Styela clava: one gene and its partner. The protein of the gene in region 2 interacts with the protein of the main gene of each other region in a pairwise test. Links are inferred from orthologs where the notes say so. Each region holds a gene or a part of one and is shown on either strand. Other genes may lie near its edges.

Region 1 (8,895 bases), on a different chromosome or scaffold from region 2:
TTTTGACATTGTTTATCTCACAGAAATATTGTTTGACACAAGCTATTAATAATACAGCAGCAAAGTTGCAGTAGCCAGACCTTGCCTCCTTGACTGTGATATGTTAAGGAGACTCTCATATCATTTTGAAACTGTTCCATAATCAATCTGTACTTGTTTTCAAAATCCTAATAACAGCGTCAAATTTAAAATATAATGTTTATATTGTCTGTGTGTTCTCACCAATTGGGTTAAAAGCCTGTGCTAATATTTTGCAATAATAATTAATTGTTTTCAATTAACATAATTCCTAGGTTATGATAATTTAATAAAACAGTGGTTCCCAAAGTTGATTGACCAGGGGGCAAAATTAGAAGCGAAAGAATATTCGCGAGTCAGGAGAGGGGAGCGACTGCAAGGGCGCAAAATCGTATGTAACCCTAATACCCCTTTGTATAATTAAGATATCGATATAATTGAATTGTTACGAAAATACACATGCTTGAATTGAGATATAACAATTGGAGGTATCTAAAACGCAAAAAAGTAAAACATGGAGTGTTCAAAAGTTCGGCGGGACATATTAAATCGTTACGTGGGTCGTAATTGGCCCGCGGGTTGCAGTTTGGGAACCACTGTATATAATGTTATGTTAGATAGTGAAAACTAGACAAAAATATACTTATCATGAAATTAGAGTTGTACAATTGCACTATTGCATGCATATTTCCACGCTAAGGTGTTTACATTATGACAAATATAATAATAGAAAGTCTTTCTATATCTAAGTCATTAGAATGATGAACATTCAAGAGATCACAACATGCAACATTCACCTTCTCATCGAGAGCTTTATGATGTTCAAAAAGTGATTTGAGAGCTTTCAAAACCTCAACTTCACTTGACACACCGGTACTTTGTTGCTGCTGCCGTTTGACGACTGTCATACGAAGGGAGCGCTCATGACGAGATACCAACGCTTCAAGATGTTCCAGCAGCAACTGAATAAATTTAACAAAAACTTGAGCATTGAATTATTCTCACTTTCTATTCTATACGAAATTGGTCTGATAACTGAGTAAACACATCTAATATATCCATCAATAAACTGTACAATTAATGATATGTGATAAAGATTGCTAGCTTTTTTAGTTATGAGCCAAATTGGGTATCAATGTACCAGGGGTGTGGAGTTTACACCCGAATCCGTGCCAATCAAAAAATGGCTTTGGCTGTGGCTTCTGAGTGATAACAATTTTGACTCCAGCTCTCTCTCCAGACTTCAATAAAATCTAAATTTGATAGCTTAACGACTAACATATTAGGTTCATGAAACTCATGATATCGAAAAAATGAATGACATCAAGCAGAGTTACTTGTTGTCACAGAGGTATCAGAATTTTCAAAAAGGAAAGGGTTTACAATCAGAATCGAAAATTATCATGCAAAGGCTCTTTAAACAGTCACTACAATTACGCAAACCACTTATTACAAAATTTTTTTTTATTGATAACAATGGCGCTTGCCGCGCCACCTCATATAAACATCAAAATTGATTCAGTACTTATCATGAGAATACAAATACATAGATACCCGTGTATTATTTCTTTCAGCTTTTAATTCAGAAATTTCTTCCTCATGTTCTAAAATTCTATCACGAGATTGATTGAGCTCTTTAGACATAGCAGCATAATCCTGATAAAGAATGCATACATTGCAGATGAATAAAGCATCTAAGTTCAAACTTAAGAATATAATAGTACATCATTGATAGGTTTGATTTTTAAACGCTAATTAATACAAATTTTTAAGTTATTTTAATCACATATTAGACTATTGAATGGGCGGAATCAAAATAAAATGCTTTAGTTTGGAGAAAATTTCAGATTCAAACTCCAGTTCTTAACTCTGTAAAACTTTGACGTATGTATGCAAATTCTCCCTTTTTCCATTGGGAATGCCTAGTCAACCGAAGTTCTGTTGAATTCTTCTCGCAGAAAAAACAAAAGTATAATTTAGCTTTTGTTCACTTATCAGCAAGTAGCAGTCCGATGCGTCAACAGCAACAATAGGCAATAATAGATAAGAAAGGCTCTTCCTGTTTTATACTGTTGTTTATTAACCTTTTTGGATTAAAACCTATAAGTAAAAAAACTACTTACAGATGGCATCGAATTGGTCAGTTGTCTGTTGAGAAAGTCTCTTTCATGTGAAACCTCTTCCAATTTCGCTTTTGAATCTTCAAGTTCATCTTTCGTTTTCTAAAGAATTAGCATGAATACAAGATTAATTAATTATTACAAAATCTATCAATGTCAAATATATTGTGATATGTGTAAAAAACGCAACGGCCATCGCACCACTGATTACATTGATTGAGTTTCTCAGTTTGAATCCAGCGAGAAAGAAGTATGTGTGAGAAGATTACTTGATTCCTCCCTGTCATAAGGTGGTTCATATATAATCACTGGTCAGTTACGACTTTCTCCAGGTATCCGCATATCAAACAATTGACTAGTAACTATTACCATACTAGGCATCAAACTGGATGAGAGGCCAAAATTTGGGTACTCCCGAAGTATGTGAACCAAGATGGCGTACACCAGAATGTAGTATGTGTACCAGGTTAGGGTTAGGCCATAATTTCAGGTACAAATACTACGAGAGTCACTTGGCTACTCCCCGAACTCGTGATAGAACTAAAATAAGAAAAATTGGAATAAAATTATTGCCCAACCCTAACCTGGTATGCATACTACGTTCCGGTGTCTGCCATCTTAGTTCACATACTCCGGGAGTACCAAAGTTTGTCCTATTGTTGAGCTGTCATATTATTTTCAGTTTCCCCGAAAAAGTATGTTGAAAGGAAAAATTTCAAAAAAAGATGCCAACTTCAATTTATTGTTTCTTGAAAAAATATATTTTTTCTAATAGAATTTATTTCGAGTTTGGTTAAGGCTACAGATTACAAATGTTTAATATGACAAAACCCCAGTATCTCTGATGCATCTTGCATTTTACCTGTAAAGTATCAAGAAGTTTATCTCTTTCATCCAGTATGGTTACCATCATATTTTCCATGTTTGTCTGAATAGAAAGAAAAATGTAAAGTGTAAAATTCACTAAAACAAATTTGTTGAAAGCAAGGTCACACACACATTCATTCAGAAGTAGAGAAGGTCATCTCTGTGCAAAGTTACAGCGACTACAGGAATGTTAAGATTTCCTGAAACTACGAAGATTATGATGGTGCATAACGCACAAACATATGCCGATTGGCACAAGACTTCGAACAGTTCAATTCAGTGGGTTCATTGAAAAGATATCGGGAAGTAAAAAAGTATTTGGTATTTGTCAAGGGGTGGGTATACTGACTTGTTAGTTTTCCAGGAGGGACAAGTACAAAAAGTCCAGAACGCCACAGTAGATTATCATATCAGTAAAATAATCAGTGAAGTGAAATTTTGTCAATAAAGAAGAAATCAATAGGACATTTCAACATCATTTAGTGATTACATCTTCAAAAAACAAACTTTTAACAACAGACAATCCGAAGAAAAATTCAACAAAATCTATTTTAAAAACACAGGACATTAGCAAACAAACATATTAATTCACAAAAAAACAAATCATCAAAATTAATCATGAAAAATAGGAACGGTTTACCATAACAAAATAAACAAAATTACAATTTAATTTGAGAAAATAATCAACATATTATCAAGAAGCAAAATATTGGAATATCATTCTTACTTGATCTTCTTCGCCATCACTGTTATAAGAGCCGGCCCGACTGATTTTATCTTCTGAAATTGTGGGCATAACATCGCACATCATTTTGATATGTTTTTGAAATGTACCGATATCCCAAATGAAAATAAACTGGGTGCATTTGCATCTGTTGACTATTATTACCTACACAACAGCATAAAAGAAGTCGATAGTACTGGCTTGTAATCACATTATATGGAGATACAAATAAAAATAGAGTTTAGCTAGTATCTGTTCAGAAAAAAAAGCATTTACCGTAGATCAGGGATGTGCAAGGTTTTTGGACTATGGACTAAAAATTTTGCTCACTCAGACTAGCGGGCCATCTAAGTGTGACGTAATAATTTAGCTATTAATTTCAACGAATCTTGGTGCAGAAAAGAAATGCAAAACAACAGATCATTAGAAACTCTCGGGAAACGATAGACAGTTTTATATAGTAGGCCTAAATGCAGAATTGGTTGAAAAGCAGAAATTTCTCGCAGCATCAGACGGGTCAGATTGAATCACCCAACAGGCCGGATTTGTCCCGCGGTCCATGTCAAACATAGATAAAATACTAAATTTGAAACATACTGTACCAATATACAGTACAGCACACTATCCAAATTCCAAGAATTTCCCTTCATTTGGCTCAATAAAACAAACACTCCATGTGTCTCACAAACGAGGGGCTTCTGGGACCACGTCAGATGCTTCATATCGCACCATGCTTGTCTCAATAATATTCTAAATTAATCGTGGCCGTTACATGACCAAAATTGCCGTTTTTTGCTAAAAACTCTTGAATGCTACGGTAAAATATTTTTTCCTTCGGTAAATCTGAATATTCTTTCCCAAGGAATTCAATGATGACGTTACTAGATTGCGCTTTTTTGTAGTATTTTGTGCAACTTCATTATACTGTATTATTACCGATATTGAATGACAACAATGTCCAGACGCCTCCCAAAGGAGGGGTGTCTGATCATCTGTAAAATGGGTTTCTCTGAAACGGGACAATGTCACCCGATTTGTATAGTGTGCCATACTGATATAGGCTAGTATTTCTTGATAATATTTTAAATTGCAATTTGAGATATTTTGCACTATTATCATAACCAAATTCTTGAAACTTTTGAATGTTGATGATTATCTGATGATTTTGGCCAAAATGCTTAAACGTCTACAAATAAAACCTTTTCTATATCAATGCAATTCAGTTTTAAGCTCATGTGCAAAATCTAATATATGGTAAAATTACAAACTTTCAGATTTTATCCATTGTCGCATGAAAATGATACAAGATAAAAGAGAAATTCATGAATTAGTTTTATTCAATTTTTACAATTCTGCAATTTTTGATTTTTTTTTTTTGATGAGATAATTTGAAAAATCACTAATTCGGGCAGTTCAAGTCTACCGTTATAACCTAAAAGTTCTTTAAATTTGTTCAATATTCAAATCATCGAAAATGCATCGACTTCTATGGGTTCTCTGTTGAACATCGTCCAATTTAGAATATATCATGATATTCCATATTTTAGAATGTAGTTGGAATGGTAAATTATTTGATTTCGGCTCTCCATTTTATATTTGTATTCACATGCAGAAATAAACAAATATATACCGATATATATAACATTATCCAGTAAATCTGTAAATTGAATGTATCGTACAGGCCCACAAACGTCATGAACACGCTGTGACTATATCATTTATAGAAAGGTTTAGTCTAAAATAATAAAATTGATCAAATAACTTATAATCCAAGGTATCAGTAATAAATTAACATTTCTTGAGTTTGACGCCCACTCACTGCTGCACTGACTTAAAAATATAAAAAAAATAATATTACGGTGTCAAATGCGATTCGCTTGAAAACTGGAAAAGGAGCGTATGGGCGACAACGATCAGACTCATTAGAAATATTTCATTAATATCCCAGGATCCTGTGAGGATGAAACTTCTGGTCCAAAACCTGAAAACGTCCATGGACTGAAACATCAGTCAAGCTGTCAGTCTGTCGGCACAGACTAATAAAGTTACTGTGCTATTACCGGTACCGGTACTGCCCTAGTCTAATGACTCACCTGCCCTAAGACTGCAAAACGGTGAACACCTTCATTAAAAGTTTTAGACTAGCCCTATTTCACGCTGAATCTCTGGACTACAAGACTAGGTAGGTTCTGGCCTTCTGGGCTAAACTGACTAACAGACTAAAGACTGAAAGATGACGAGTAAACGGTATATATTGAAAATAGGAATCATTATTTTATCAAACGACCAGAATAAACACCGGTAGTGAAGTCCCATATTAACGAATGGGTACCTGTACCAAGTTAGTTAACTTATTCCTGATATGTATGAAGGCTATACAATAAGCGAAAAATCGGGGCAGCAGGAGGCCCTTAAGAAGCTGAAAACAGCCAAATTAGGTAGTAGATGTGAGCGGAGTCTGAACGTAAAGCTGTTTTTAATCGATATTTCATTTAATCCCGCTGCAATAGTGGAACTTTCCCCGTGTGGTTAAGATCGGGAAGATTGAAAAATTTGTAAAGGTTAAAAATGAACGGGTTGAATGAAAATTTGCGAATTGTTCTGGGTCTCTGAGTTTAACACTGATGTTATGATTTATTGAATTTTACTTCTGTCGTAGGCTTTCTTCGAATTATTTGATATGTTTGTTTCCGAACCCTTATACACTATTGTCCTTTTTATATTTTTTTGTGGTAATAAAATTCATATATATATATATAGATAGAGAGAGTGAGAGCGGCATTTTACATCTACGACCTTTTCAAATTAGACTTTCGCATTCTTTTTTTTCAAATAAAAAATAAATGAATTCAAATGACTGAACTAAGTTGTTGATAGAGCAATATTGGAAAAATCGAGCCCTGGTCTAGTGAAGTTGAAAAGACGAATAGAAGAAATGGGACAACAAATACCTTCCAATAAATTCAAAATGAAATAGAGCCATAAAGCATTGTTACCGGTAACACAAATCTCCAAATACCAAATCAATGAATCAGAGGTAGTAATTTAAATTGACTACAAATTTGCATGCAAGCAAACTATCAGGTATTCGAATAGATTTTGATTTTAGGCGTAAAGGGCAATCATAAAAATGAGAGTAAAGTGAGAAACTAAATGCTATGTCTATCGTCGGATGCGAAATTTGATGATGAACTCCACGAAAAAGACTGCTTGTACAGCACAGGTTTTAAAAAGCACATGAATTTCAATTGCTACTGTTCAAACTGAAGTTGGAGGCCAGGGCTTGGAATGTTTTTGGTATATTTAACTTTGTTGGTTGTTGTTCACATTTACGCTGCTACTATTTCTCGGCGGTGTGCTAAGCGTTAGGAAAACGTGCCCCCACTGCATCTCTGATGACCTTGCGTGGGTTCGCAGGTTCGAATCCCATGCGGGGATGATTATGTGCGATGGAATTGCTGGACTCCTCGCCGCCGTAGGGTGGTTCACGTAACCGCTGGTCGGTTACGGCTTCCTCCACCATCAAGTCCATGCTTCCGAAAACAAATAACTGGCTAACTAATCCCATACCCGACCTGGACTGGTAACCGGACGAGAGGCCGTGGTTCGCCATATGATTAAGCCATCTTATCGGCTTTCCTCTCCCCATGGATAAATATGTAAATCCCATCCTATTATTGTTGTTTAGCGTACAGTCAACTATTAGTCTTGTGCGTTCAAAATCACATCAATTACCACATGCTATGTACCGCTTGTTTATTCGAGTGGACTACATTACTGTTATGTTTTTGTATACACTATAGTAGAAATTGTATTTTAAAACTCCACACTCATGTACTCACGTCCGAATTGTCTTTCGATTTTTTATCTTTCTAAAACGTGTATTGTAGTTTGGGGTTAGTGAGCACGTGTATCAGCACGTCGAACATGTTTTTGGATTTTCCCTACTCTCTTGAGTTTTTGTATATACAGATATGCGTTTGTTTTGTGATATGTATTGTTTATTTGTTTTGTTGTTACGAATAAACTTACTTACTCAGGTCATGGTGGGTTTGCACGAGGGTTCAGACGTTCGTCGTGAAATGGAAACCCACGCAATAACTGCTGGACTGAATAAAGTGATGAACTTAGACACTGTTTTGTGGTTTTGTTCCACGTAGTTTGAACTCTTGTAGACCTATGCACTTATTGTTGTTATCGAGTCTACGCAAATAACTGGCTAACTAACCCCATTTCCACCATTAGGATTCCTCTCCACGGGATAAATATATTTGTCTGGTCTTCGCGCGATACAAAATACCGTGTTTACCCGAAATTAAGACCTAGCCTGAATTTTAAAAATAATTTTAATATGAGCCCTTTCCTTAAAATAAGACCAGGTACATAGCGAAATTTTCTTTCGACCCAATCGATGATTAATCTGAAACGTATGAGAGAGGAAAAGGTTCAAATACCTGAGGTAACGTGAGAATCACGCCACGACCGTATGGTTTACGTCAATATTGGCCATTTCGTGATATCAATAATATTATACGTGTCAGATAAAATAGTCCGAATAGGCAACACCCAAAATAAAGGGAGGTTCAGAGTGCTGCAGGTGCCACGGTAACAAGATGTTGCTACATAGGCCGCGAGCCGAGGCCATTTATCTTTCAGTTTCGTAGCGCACATAAGATAACTACCTGAAAATGATTTTAAAATGTTTGACTATTCAACAGACTTATACTACTATATAGGCCACAGCATATTTGGAAATAATAATTAATGGCTGTTTCTGTAATGCACGGTTGTGTGAAAGAGAAGAAAATAATCAATTTTACTAATGTCGGTTGGTCTAAATCTAAATTCATAGAGTCGACAAGAACCTGGGAAGCAATGAAAAGTTATGCCGGAGTGGAAAGAAGTAGCATTGGAAACGATTGAGAGGTGAGAAATCAAGTTGTAGACAGACAGTTGATGTTTTAAAATATAGTCTATAGTCCATATTCATACTGTCATAGGGCATTTCAGACTGTGATATATCAAAATTTAGTGTACTAGATATAGTATAGTAATGATATGCAAACACTGCTGCACTGTGGTACATGCAATGAGCATATATACGCTCATTGAGTACACCAGATAAAATGCATTATGTATTCAAGGTATTAGTTAGTATTTAGTGTT
Region 2 (9,709 bases):
AAACATGCAGCACCTTATGTGTAACAATATACTATAGTTTTCCAAGAATTATAATTTTTCAGTTTGCCAAAGCTTAGTCAACTCTTTATGTAAAAGGTGAGATGGTTGGGCACGAGGTAAACGCCCGTAAAATATTGTGGGTGCGATGGCCTAGTGCAGTGCTTCTCGAAGCCGCGCCCACTTTTAAGAATTTGTCAAGTCTCGCGTGTCGCGCCCACCTCAAAAATAAGTAGCCAATAATAATAAGCTACAGATAACATATAGTAAGACAAAGTATGTTTTAGTCAAAAAACATACAGAAAATATGTGGCAGGAACGTAAATAATGAAAAAAAAAATAAAAAGTTTTGAAATGTAAATATTCAAAATAAGGTGGGCAAGATCAAATCTAACAAATATTTTTATTTTTAATTAGTTTCTGAGGCTCCTCAAAAAATTGTCTACATCCCCTTTGTGGGGCGCGCCCCACCGTTTGAGAACCACTGGCTGGACTTAATCGGATTCAGATCCCATGACCATCACCTCACTCCGAGTGTACTAAATTAGTAGTAGGCAGAGTTGAGAATAAAAAATTTTGGTCTTCCCAAACTAGAGTATCTCACTACCTACTCATGTCTGCATATGCAAGTGTGCAGAGCCTTGCTCAGAACAAAAAGTATATAAATAGTGTTATATATATATGGTAGTATATAAAAATAAATATCATCTGGATTCGGATTATATTGAAGATATAAAAGAAAATTGTTGTGGAATCATCTTGAGAATTTCAACTTGAAAGTGTTCTCAAATCTATATATAAGTCTGAAACACCATGTAATAAATTATTCATAGCAGTGTTGAAGGTAATCAAGATATCAGCCCTGTCAATTCTCATATCTGGATATCATAAACTTTAATTCAGAATATCTTTTTATAGATCAGGTCAAAATGTTTAAATTGGCATCAGGTCAAAAACAAATTTAACTAAGATTAATAAAATCATTTTTGTTATAAGATATTTTTCTCTTTTATTGAGGCATTAATTAGAACTTTAGAAGACAATAAAGTATTGTTTAGAAAAAAGGACATTTTAAACTTCTATCAATATCATTAGAAATTTGTTTTACATTGTAAAAGCTTTATCATGTACAGTAAAATCATGATATATGTCAAAATGGCCTAAAAACTTTATTATTTAATAAATATATCTTCAAACAATACATCTACCAGATGCATTTCATAATTATCACATTACTATAAAACAAAAATAAGATACAAATTTTAAACAGTATCAAAATGCTTCCATGGTGATATAATAAAAGCAAATTTGGCTTTAGTTTTTTGTATTCTTCAATGATCAAAAAATTATAAGGAGTTACGCTCAGCATTGATACTTCATTAAATTATCTCAAAACTTCACAATCATCGATTTTGGCTTTTTAGAAAGAACTGGTAATGATGTTATAGTATATTATTACAGCAGCATTCTCAACCACACTGAATGAGAATGCCCACAGCAGGTTGAAAATTGATTTTTTTTCTGTGTTATTTACTGTGTTAACTGTTGACTTTTTTGACAAAAGTAGTGAAAACGGTAATTTTATTTTACTGATACTGAAGATTTCGTCTTGAATTTTGGAAGAAAAATCAGGTGCGCAATAAACAAAAAAGTTAGTAGAATTACTGTGTTGCAGCATAATTTATGCCATGTTATTACTCACAGTTCCTAGTTATAAGGATACATACAATTGTAAATAGAATATCTGACAGTTTTCAGATATCATATTTCTAGAACTTAGACGTAAAACCTTTTTTCCTCAGTGCAAGACCATGAATTTTTCATGGCAATCCATTTTTCTTGCCACACAGCTCCGAAAAATTGAATGACGTCATACTGTGGTGGAATATGTATTCATATATGGGTATATGATAAACTGCATCAGTTGGCTCGATTTATATATAGTTCATGCTTGTTAGAGATAGTTGTGTTCAAGAGGAATGATTCATGCTCTTAAGAATTAAAAGAATTAAAGAGAATACTGGATACCCACCTCACCGAATGACCAATATGAATGATCATAATTGAAACTTTTTGGATTGTCTCCCGGCTGCCTTGGATTTCTTATAACTGAAATTGAATATAAATCAAATAATATTAATATATTTTATAAAAATTGTTACTTCACGATACAATGTTAAAAATCAGTGCATGTAGCCTATATTGGAAATTTAAATTATTCAACCTAATTCACAGAAGTATCATGTAATTGAAAAAGGGTAATAATTAGTAAAATTAATAAAATAGAATACAAGGAAGAAACTTATTGATCAAGAAAAAATAATCATAAATAAATATTGACTATTGCTTAAATGGTAGACATGGGAATTCTGTCATCTAGAACCTTCCATAAACCACAGGCTTTAATTATGAACAATGATCAAATGGAGAAAGCTGATACATATGGCGAGGAAATCGAAGCATATATCATGCAATTCTCATGGGAGGCGGAAAACGACAGTATATATTCTTAGTCAATTAATAATGCTTGCCACTGCAACACAATTCCCAAATGCATGAATGACGAAGCAATACACAACCAGTTGCTTATCCATTTCAGAATACTATTTCTTAATCAAACAAGTTCGATCATGGGCCATAATATCAAACTGTCAATAAAACAATTTTCATTTACAGTTCATACATGATAGAAAATTCTGATCAGATATAATTAAACGATATTATTGGAAAAAAAAATTTTGTAATGGCATTGACGTAATGGAAATATGAAAATATATCACACCTTTGATTTGACAAAATGAAATGCGAACCTGGTACATAGATTTGAATTGAATGTGTGCAAATTTGGATGAATCTAGTTCCAACTTTTTAACATAGAAACAAACATTTGAAGCTTCTAATGGTTTCCCAAACTTTAATTGTAATTCAATGTTCAATATTAATTTCAATATTTGGCAATATATAAATACCAGTATATGAAAGCAAATGAGATGAAACAATGGGTCTGATATTCCGAGCCAAACCATCAAAGCGGTTAAAATACTTCTCTCTTTACATTGTCCTATCTAATGAAACAAACTATTATAACCCCGAACTAGGAGATATGGATTAAAAAATAAATACCTTTTATTGTTCATTTAAATATTTTTGAGGAACTTTTTGAAAAATTATTGATTTTGTGATGACGCACCTAGGCCCCAATGCCTAACATTTAATAATAGCCTATATAAACTTCTTTTTTTGTGTGAAAAATATTCACTTAGTAAATAATACTCACTTGTTGTTGCTTCATTCATCTCAATAATACATTTTGCATTTCTACTTTTCTCTCGACTGTTGAAAGGTCGGACACGTACTGCAACCTTCACAGAAGACATTCTGTTGATTTACTTCAGTCCAATGTTCAAATGTGAATTTGTTGAAATTTCTGACTACATTTGTGCATTGAGATATTGTGTTTATGATTTAATTACCAAATTAACAGAAAATTTTGGAATGATCATTCCTAACTAATTTTATTATTTTAATTCTGAGAAGATATTAAGAATGAAGAAAGTAAGTAAGTTTAACTAAAATATGAGACTAATGTTAATGCAGTGGCCTATTGTTAAAAAGGCTACACATTTTCCCTAAAATTTGTAAAGCAAAAAAAATTGATGTTGGAGATTTGGAGAAAATATAGTAAAAAATTATTCACAGATTCTATCAAATGAAAGAACTCCAAAATTGATTTTCTTCAAAATGTCTGTATGTAATAATAATACTGAATTAAATTAAGTTGTAAAGATGAATTTAGAATAACCACAGTGCAGAAAAAAAAAAAAATTTCCGAAAAATATCATATATCATGTGTATTAACAATATGTAGTTTTACTGTTCTCATTACCTTAATAAATACTTCAAGTCCTCAAATAATTAATACTTGATAGCAGCCTTAGTTTTAAATCAATCTCTATTAGTTAAGACTGCCTTCTTTTGACCTCGTCTTGGGTCAATATAAACAATCAAAAAGCAAGCCAATGTCACCAACAGAAAAACTTTGCTAAATTGTTAATAATTAATATTGTTGGGACGGAATCATCTTTCGCTTCAACTACTGACCATATCCCTTCAACATTTTGAGTAGTTGAAGATTGAAGCATCTCTGAGAAGGATGTTACTTTTATATTTTTCATATTTTTGTATAGCTCAAATTGTGCCACGGAGTTACTCTTAGTTTTTTTTAGAATTTGCAAAAAGCGAAATCAAAAATACTCAATGTGAAATGCATAATCTCAGTAATATTTCAGTATTAGTAAACATACACTAAATTGAAAAAATCTAAGTGACACAGGAAATTGAACAGAAACTGTTGATTTAAAAGCAGTAAAAATCTACCTCAACTACAAAATGTATTCTTGAATCCCATATAAATATTAGTTACATATGAACATATACATTATCAAAGCTATTCCATTATTATACTTTTTGTACCCATAGCAAAGTCACAGGTAGGCAACAAATATCATAGATATAGATCGTCACTATTTAGGTACAAAAGGAAATATATTTAACAAAATTATGAGAGAGATTCCACCAGGGACAAGATTTAAATAGTCACACAAAGTAACATCATATCGCTCAAGAATTGAAAAGTTCAATTATGTAATGCTTATAAAATTGATTATTCAAGGAAATAAGAAAAGCATTTACCGGTAATAAAGATAAAAATAAGTCCAGTTCTATTCTTTCCTTACAAAATATGCATATTGATGAATGATTTCTTTTTGATTTAGTACCATATCAGCAATATTATATTCCTTCATCTAGAACAAAGAATTGGCTAGAAGATTACATTAGGCACACACATGTTACCAAACTGAAGATTTAAGGCTTACATAGTCGTATCAATTGTCTTTCAGTCTGTCCAGCAAAATACAGTAAAATACACTGTAAATAGTCTTATACTGTAATAACTAGACTAAGGTACTATAAAATCTGACTTGTTCATCAAACTTGATATGATCTTCACTATGGACAGATGAAAGCGATCTAAATATTAATTCTTATTTTGCCGTACTTTATTCTGCTATTGCAAGATAATGTTACCGCATTCTGGTGTTACGTGTCAGCTTACCTCAGCGAAGCAGTGGCGTCGAAACTCTTCAACCATGCTAACTCTAATATATCTTAATAAGATATTAGTCCTACAACTGTTCTTTTACATTCGTATTGCGTGTACAGTACAGAGGTGAAAACATACCACGACCAGAACAGCAACAAACAACATGGGCAAATCGGCAAACAAGCCCCGCGGCAGTACGGGGATTTCCCAAAGAATTTCTTCAACTTTTGCGTAACCAGCAGGGCATAGCGAATCTGGCTAACTTGGGGAGTAAATTACTTATCACTGTTTCAAACGAGTTAATGATGATTGGAATTGCTTTCAGTCGAATTTAATTACACGGAATTTATTAACACAAAGTTCTCCAGTTGTAAGAATACATGGGTTAAAACACAGTAATTAACTGATAACAGCTGCAAATTTTAAATCTCCTTCTATTCATAGGATAGGATTTATAGTGATATTTATTGTTTAAGAGGATCAGTCTGTAAGTTCCAAATGCTCCAACATCTTTGCTACCTACTATGTAAATACAGTAACCGTTTTCCCCATTTCACAATTACATTCAGTATCCTTTTCATTTTAGAATTTAGAATATAATAATTGGAAATCCACACTTATTCTTGAAAATAGAAATGCTTGGTCAATCATCATTACATAACAAATTAATTGTTTTGTATGCATGGCCTTAGAACAGGGGTGGGCAACATACGGCCCGCGGGCCGGGTCCGGCCCGCGACGAGATTTTGACCGGCCCGCCGACTGTATCCAACCTCACTCTGTAATGTGGTACGACGCATCATTCCTGAAAGTTGCCGATCACTCTACTCTCACCACACTGTCAGTGCGAGCTGGGGAAACAAACAATTGTCTTAATGAACAAACAATTGACCTCTCTCTTCCGACCTTTGACCCCCGAAAGATCATTACCATTGTGAAAAGTCTTTACCATTGTGCAAAATTGTCGGGGCTCCTTTTAAAAGTGGTTTCGCGAGTTGGCGCTTGTAAAATGGGGTATGTGTTTGAAACTATCATTATTATTTATCGCATACAACAATATGTTTTTTAAAAATACCGGTAAAGAATTTTGGCCTAGTCTATCACAGTTATTTCTACACTAATTTTTTTATTTCTGCAATTAAATCAAAAACTCTTAAGACAGAGTAATCATTGACTTATCTAATTTCTATTTAAATTTCCGAAACACAACTGAAAACTAACGAATAGAGTTCAAAAACATGAAAACGAGGTAATGTTTACGACCACGCCTGAAAATCTGTCTGAGCAGATGCGAAAAGGGAGCATTGTTACGTCACTTTTTGCATCTTGCTGATTGGCGAATGTCACGAAGTAAACAAGGAAGTCGATGCTCGGAGAAAGGTCCATTGCCTTAGCGCACTTGGTAAACAAACAATATAAGGTCAAAGCAGAGAGCGTTGTAAACATTCCCCACTACTGTTATCAGTTATATTTATATTCTCAATATAAATAGATTTTAGGAATTAGATTTTATATTAATATTAGGTTTTATTAACCATTAAATATCCCAAGAAACGTAAAATTGACAGAGACTGTCGAGCATTTAACAAAGATTGGATACCGAAGTATTTTTTGTAATAATCCGGCCCGCCGAGGACTTAATTTTCCCACATCTGGCCCGCCGACTAGAGAAGTTGCCCACCCCTGCCTTAGAACATTGAGGAAGTCGTAACAGCCAGTGGCTTCACGGGTGTCGTTACTCGATAACTATTTTTTGTAATCTTTTCATTTTGGAATAGTTTTCTTCATTCGATTCATGTATTTTCCTTGAACTGTGTGTATTTCCAGAGCGGTGAAAATTACAGAATATTATATATACTACCTATCAATCATTGCAATCATGATGATTTCAGCAACCCTTCATACATAATTCCCACAACGTTTTTTTTTTTATATAGACTGGAGGAAGCGATACGACCATGCGGTCATCAGAGTCAGCTCCCTCAAAGTTGACAACTGCGTTCATAACGCATAATTAACACCCCAACCACCGATCCCCATGATTCCTAAACCGCTTTTGTTTTACTGTTTATGTTACATACTAAATAACTTCGATTCTAACACAAGAAATAAAGTTTATATGCTGGTCGATGATTCCATTTACGCTTCATAACTTCTGTCGATGGTTTTCGATTATTTTTTAATAACCACAAACGCTGCCCTGACTCAAAAAGTCTTATATAGCCTACAAGTATTACATTGAAGATCACTGCGCTCTGATCCTTAAGTTTTCTTAACTAAATTTCTTTTAATCGCACCAGTCTGCGGCCTATCACGTTAAAATGAAAAATAAATTGGATCGAACATCCGTCCGTCTGTAGTGTCTTCATGAATATTTTAGAGTGGCTGGCGAGAAGCACACCGCGAACTTACGATACGAAAATATATCGATCTTCTCAAATGGCACAAGAAAGTCCCAAAAGGCACGTCAACAGTTTTAGTTTATGAATAATTCAATACTATTTACGGCCATCCATAAAGTTATAATCGCGCTTGGTGAAAATACTTTGTGAGCTAAGAGTAGGGTAGCCCTGGATTTAAACCACTAATTCGATAATATGGCATATTGTATACGACAATTTATCCCGGAAGATTGTAATGATCAGTGACTTTTCTTTTAATATGTCAGTTCACACATTATAACAATATTAAGAAACCCAATAAAATAAAATAAGATGTATTTTAAATTTTAATTTACCTATAGGCCTATATACAGTATTCCATATCCATCAAACGCATAACTTATGCCGTAATGGATAGTAATAGTGGTTGTAACATAAAATACTGCAGATTTAATAAGTTGGCCCAAATATTCATATATGTGTTATATTAAGAATGTATCATTTTGTGTGTTATTTTGATACTCATTTTCCTGGTCTTGGTTCCAGTTTCTGCGGTTACGGATTCTAGAAATTTGCAATCGGATACCAAAATTGTATACATTATATTTATACAACAATGTACATTTCTTGTTTGAATGTACGTGGAGTGTGGGCAATGCTGTTGTAAATCTGTTGGCGAACGTTTTACTCAACCATAGGCTCGGGAGTAAGATTGTATGTAACACTGCTTTAAAGATTTTAGGCTGATGTATAGGCTAAACTAGGTTCAACTAAAATCTAGTAACAAGTCACACAATCCCCGTCGATACTGTTTGTTACGGGCTACCTTAGATTCTATACCTCACTTTTGCCCTCTTAAATTGCTATATTATAACTCTTTTTTGAGACTTACTACTGTGAATCTGATTGTCATACCAGTTATTTTATGTATTTATTGTGTTATTTTCGTTTTGCTTATGTTTATTTGTTGTGTTGTTTTTATATGGACCACAGCGGTCTGGAGTAATAAACGAATTGAATTAATATGCTTTCCAATGGCCTATTGAAAATGCTGACGTGGTGTTCTCTTGAAAAATAATACGATCAGAAACAGATGAATCAGTTCAGAGATGACTAGACACTTATTGAAATGATCAATCCTCAATGTTTTTGATTTTTGTTTTTTTTACAGTAGACTTAATGTAGGTCGTCAGAGATTAAGTATCGAAATAATTTATTATCATTGTTTTTGTTTTCTAAATCACTTCTTTAAGCTTGGAGCAATATTTATTGTTCAACATGGTTGTCTTTGACTTAAAGGTACTCAGCCGGCTTTAAATGAAATGTCTATTGACAACTCCAATACGGATAACGTAGGCATATTTAAAATATATTAAATTCGTGCTTTTGAGCTTGGAAAAAATAGTAAACAATTATCACTATAAATATATAATATAATTCGTCATATAAACAAATCTAATTCTACGCGAGTATTCGTTCCCAAATATATCGCAGAAATAACCACATGGAGGGCCTTTTAGTTCTTCGTTAGCATATCCGAAACTCAGAATCTCAGAGTAACATTGTGCTACCAATCAACTACAGTTGTTCTTTATCATCTTCTTCGTCCGTTTTCAGTAGGCTCCAGTTCGCTATCGCCACCAAACGTCTTAAAAAACATAACAATGCTTCACGAGGTTGAAAATTACGAACAGTTGGAACAAAAAACGCTATATGTATCAGTGATCACCACCTGATTGATATACACATGTAGTTCAGAACTTGACCATTGTCGCTAACGTTGCTAAAGTGATTTTACACGTTGTGTTCGCGACCTTTCTTGGGACAAACCGCACAAAAGACGGATTATAACCAGTGGTGAGATTCAAATTTTTTGTTAGCCGGTTCCATCACAAAAGTCATATTTTGCCGCTGGTTCTGTTACAGAAAGTCATGTTTTTTCTCAGTAATACTAACTGGTTCGCTGATATCATAAAATTCAGTGAGACGGTTCTATAGAACCTGTGCGAACCGGCCGAATCCCACCAATATAACTAATAACAAAGTGAACGAATTCACCATTCTCTAAAATTCATATAACTCAGGTGTGGCGCATCGTGCTAAGCGTTAGGAAATAGGAATACGCTCGCCATCGAACCTCTGATTACCTTGCTTGGTTTCGCAGATTCGAATCTCGTGCGAGAGAAATGCTGGACTCCTCGCCGCCGTGATGTGGTTCACGTAACCT

What was found.
Region 1: the proteins of kinesin-like protein KIF1B (region 2) and liprin-alpha-1-like interact in binary tests that used the Caenorhabditis elegans proteins (3 or more experiments, as listed by UniProt). The link is inferred for Styela clava from reciprocal best matches to the Caenorhabditis elegans genes unc-104 and syd-2.

What each region holds. Positions count from the first base shown.
Region 1 is NC_135252.1:6,346,394-6,355,288, reverse strand, and holds the start of liprin-alpha-1-like, read right to left. Parts: upstream 3,978-8,895; 5' UTR 3,817-3,977; coding exon 3,733-3,816; intron 3,067-3,732; coding exon 3,001-3,066; intron 2,241-3,000; coding exon 2,142-2,240; intron 1,675-2,141; coding exon 1,573-1,674; intron 981-1,572; coding exon 816-980; intron 1-815. UniProt on the Caenorhabditis elegans protein: May play a role in regulating the structure of the neuronal region, called the active zone, from which synaptic vesicles send neurotransmitter signals across the synapse. This may be in association with the liprin-beta protein hlb-1.
Region 2 is NC_135257.1:14,554,499-14,564,207, reverse strand, and holds the start of kinesin-like protein KIF1B, read right to left. Parts: upstream 3,542-9,709; 5' UTR 3,375-3,541; coding exon 3,275-3,374; intron 2,107-3,274; coding exon 2,030-2,106; intron 1-2,029. UniProt on the Caenorhabditis elegans protein: Motor protein involved in microtubule-associated anterograde transport. Regulates the transport of synaptic vesicle precursors in the axon of DA motor neurons. Regulates the polarized sorting of axonal proteins.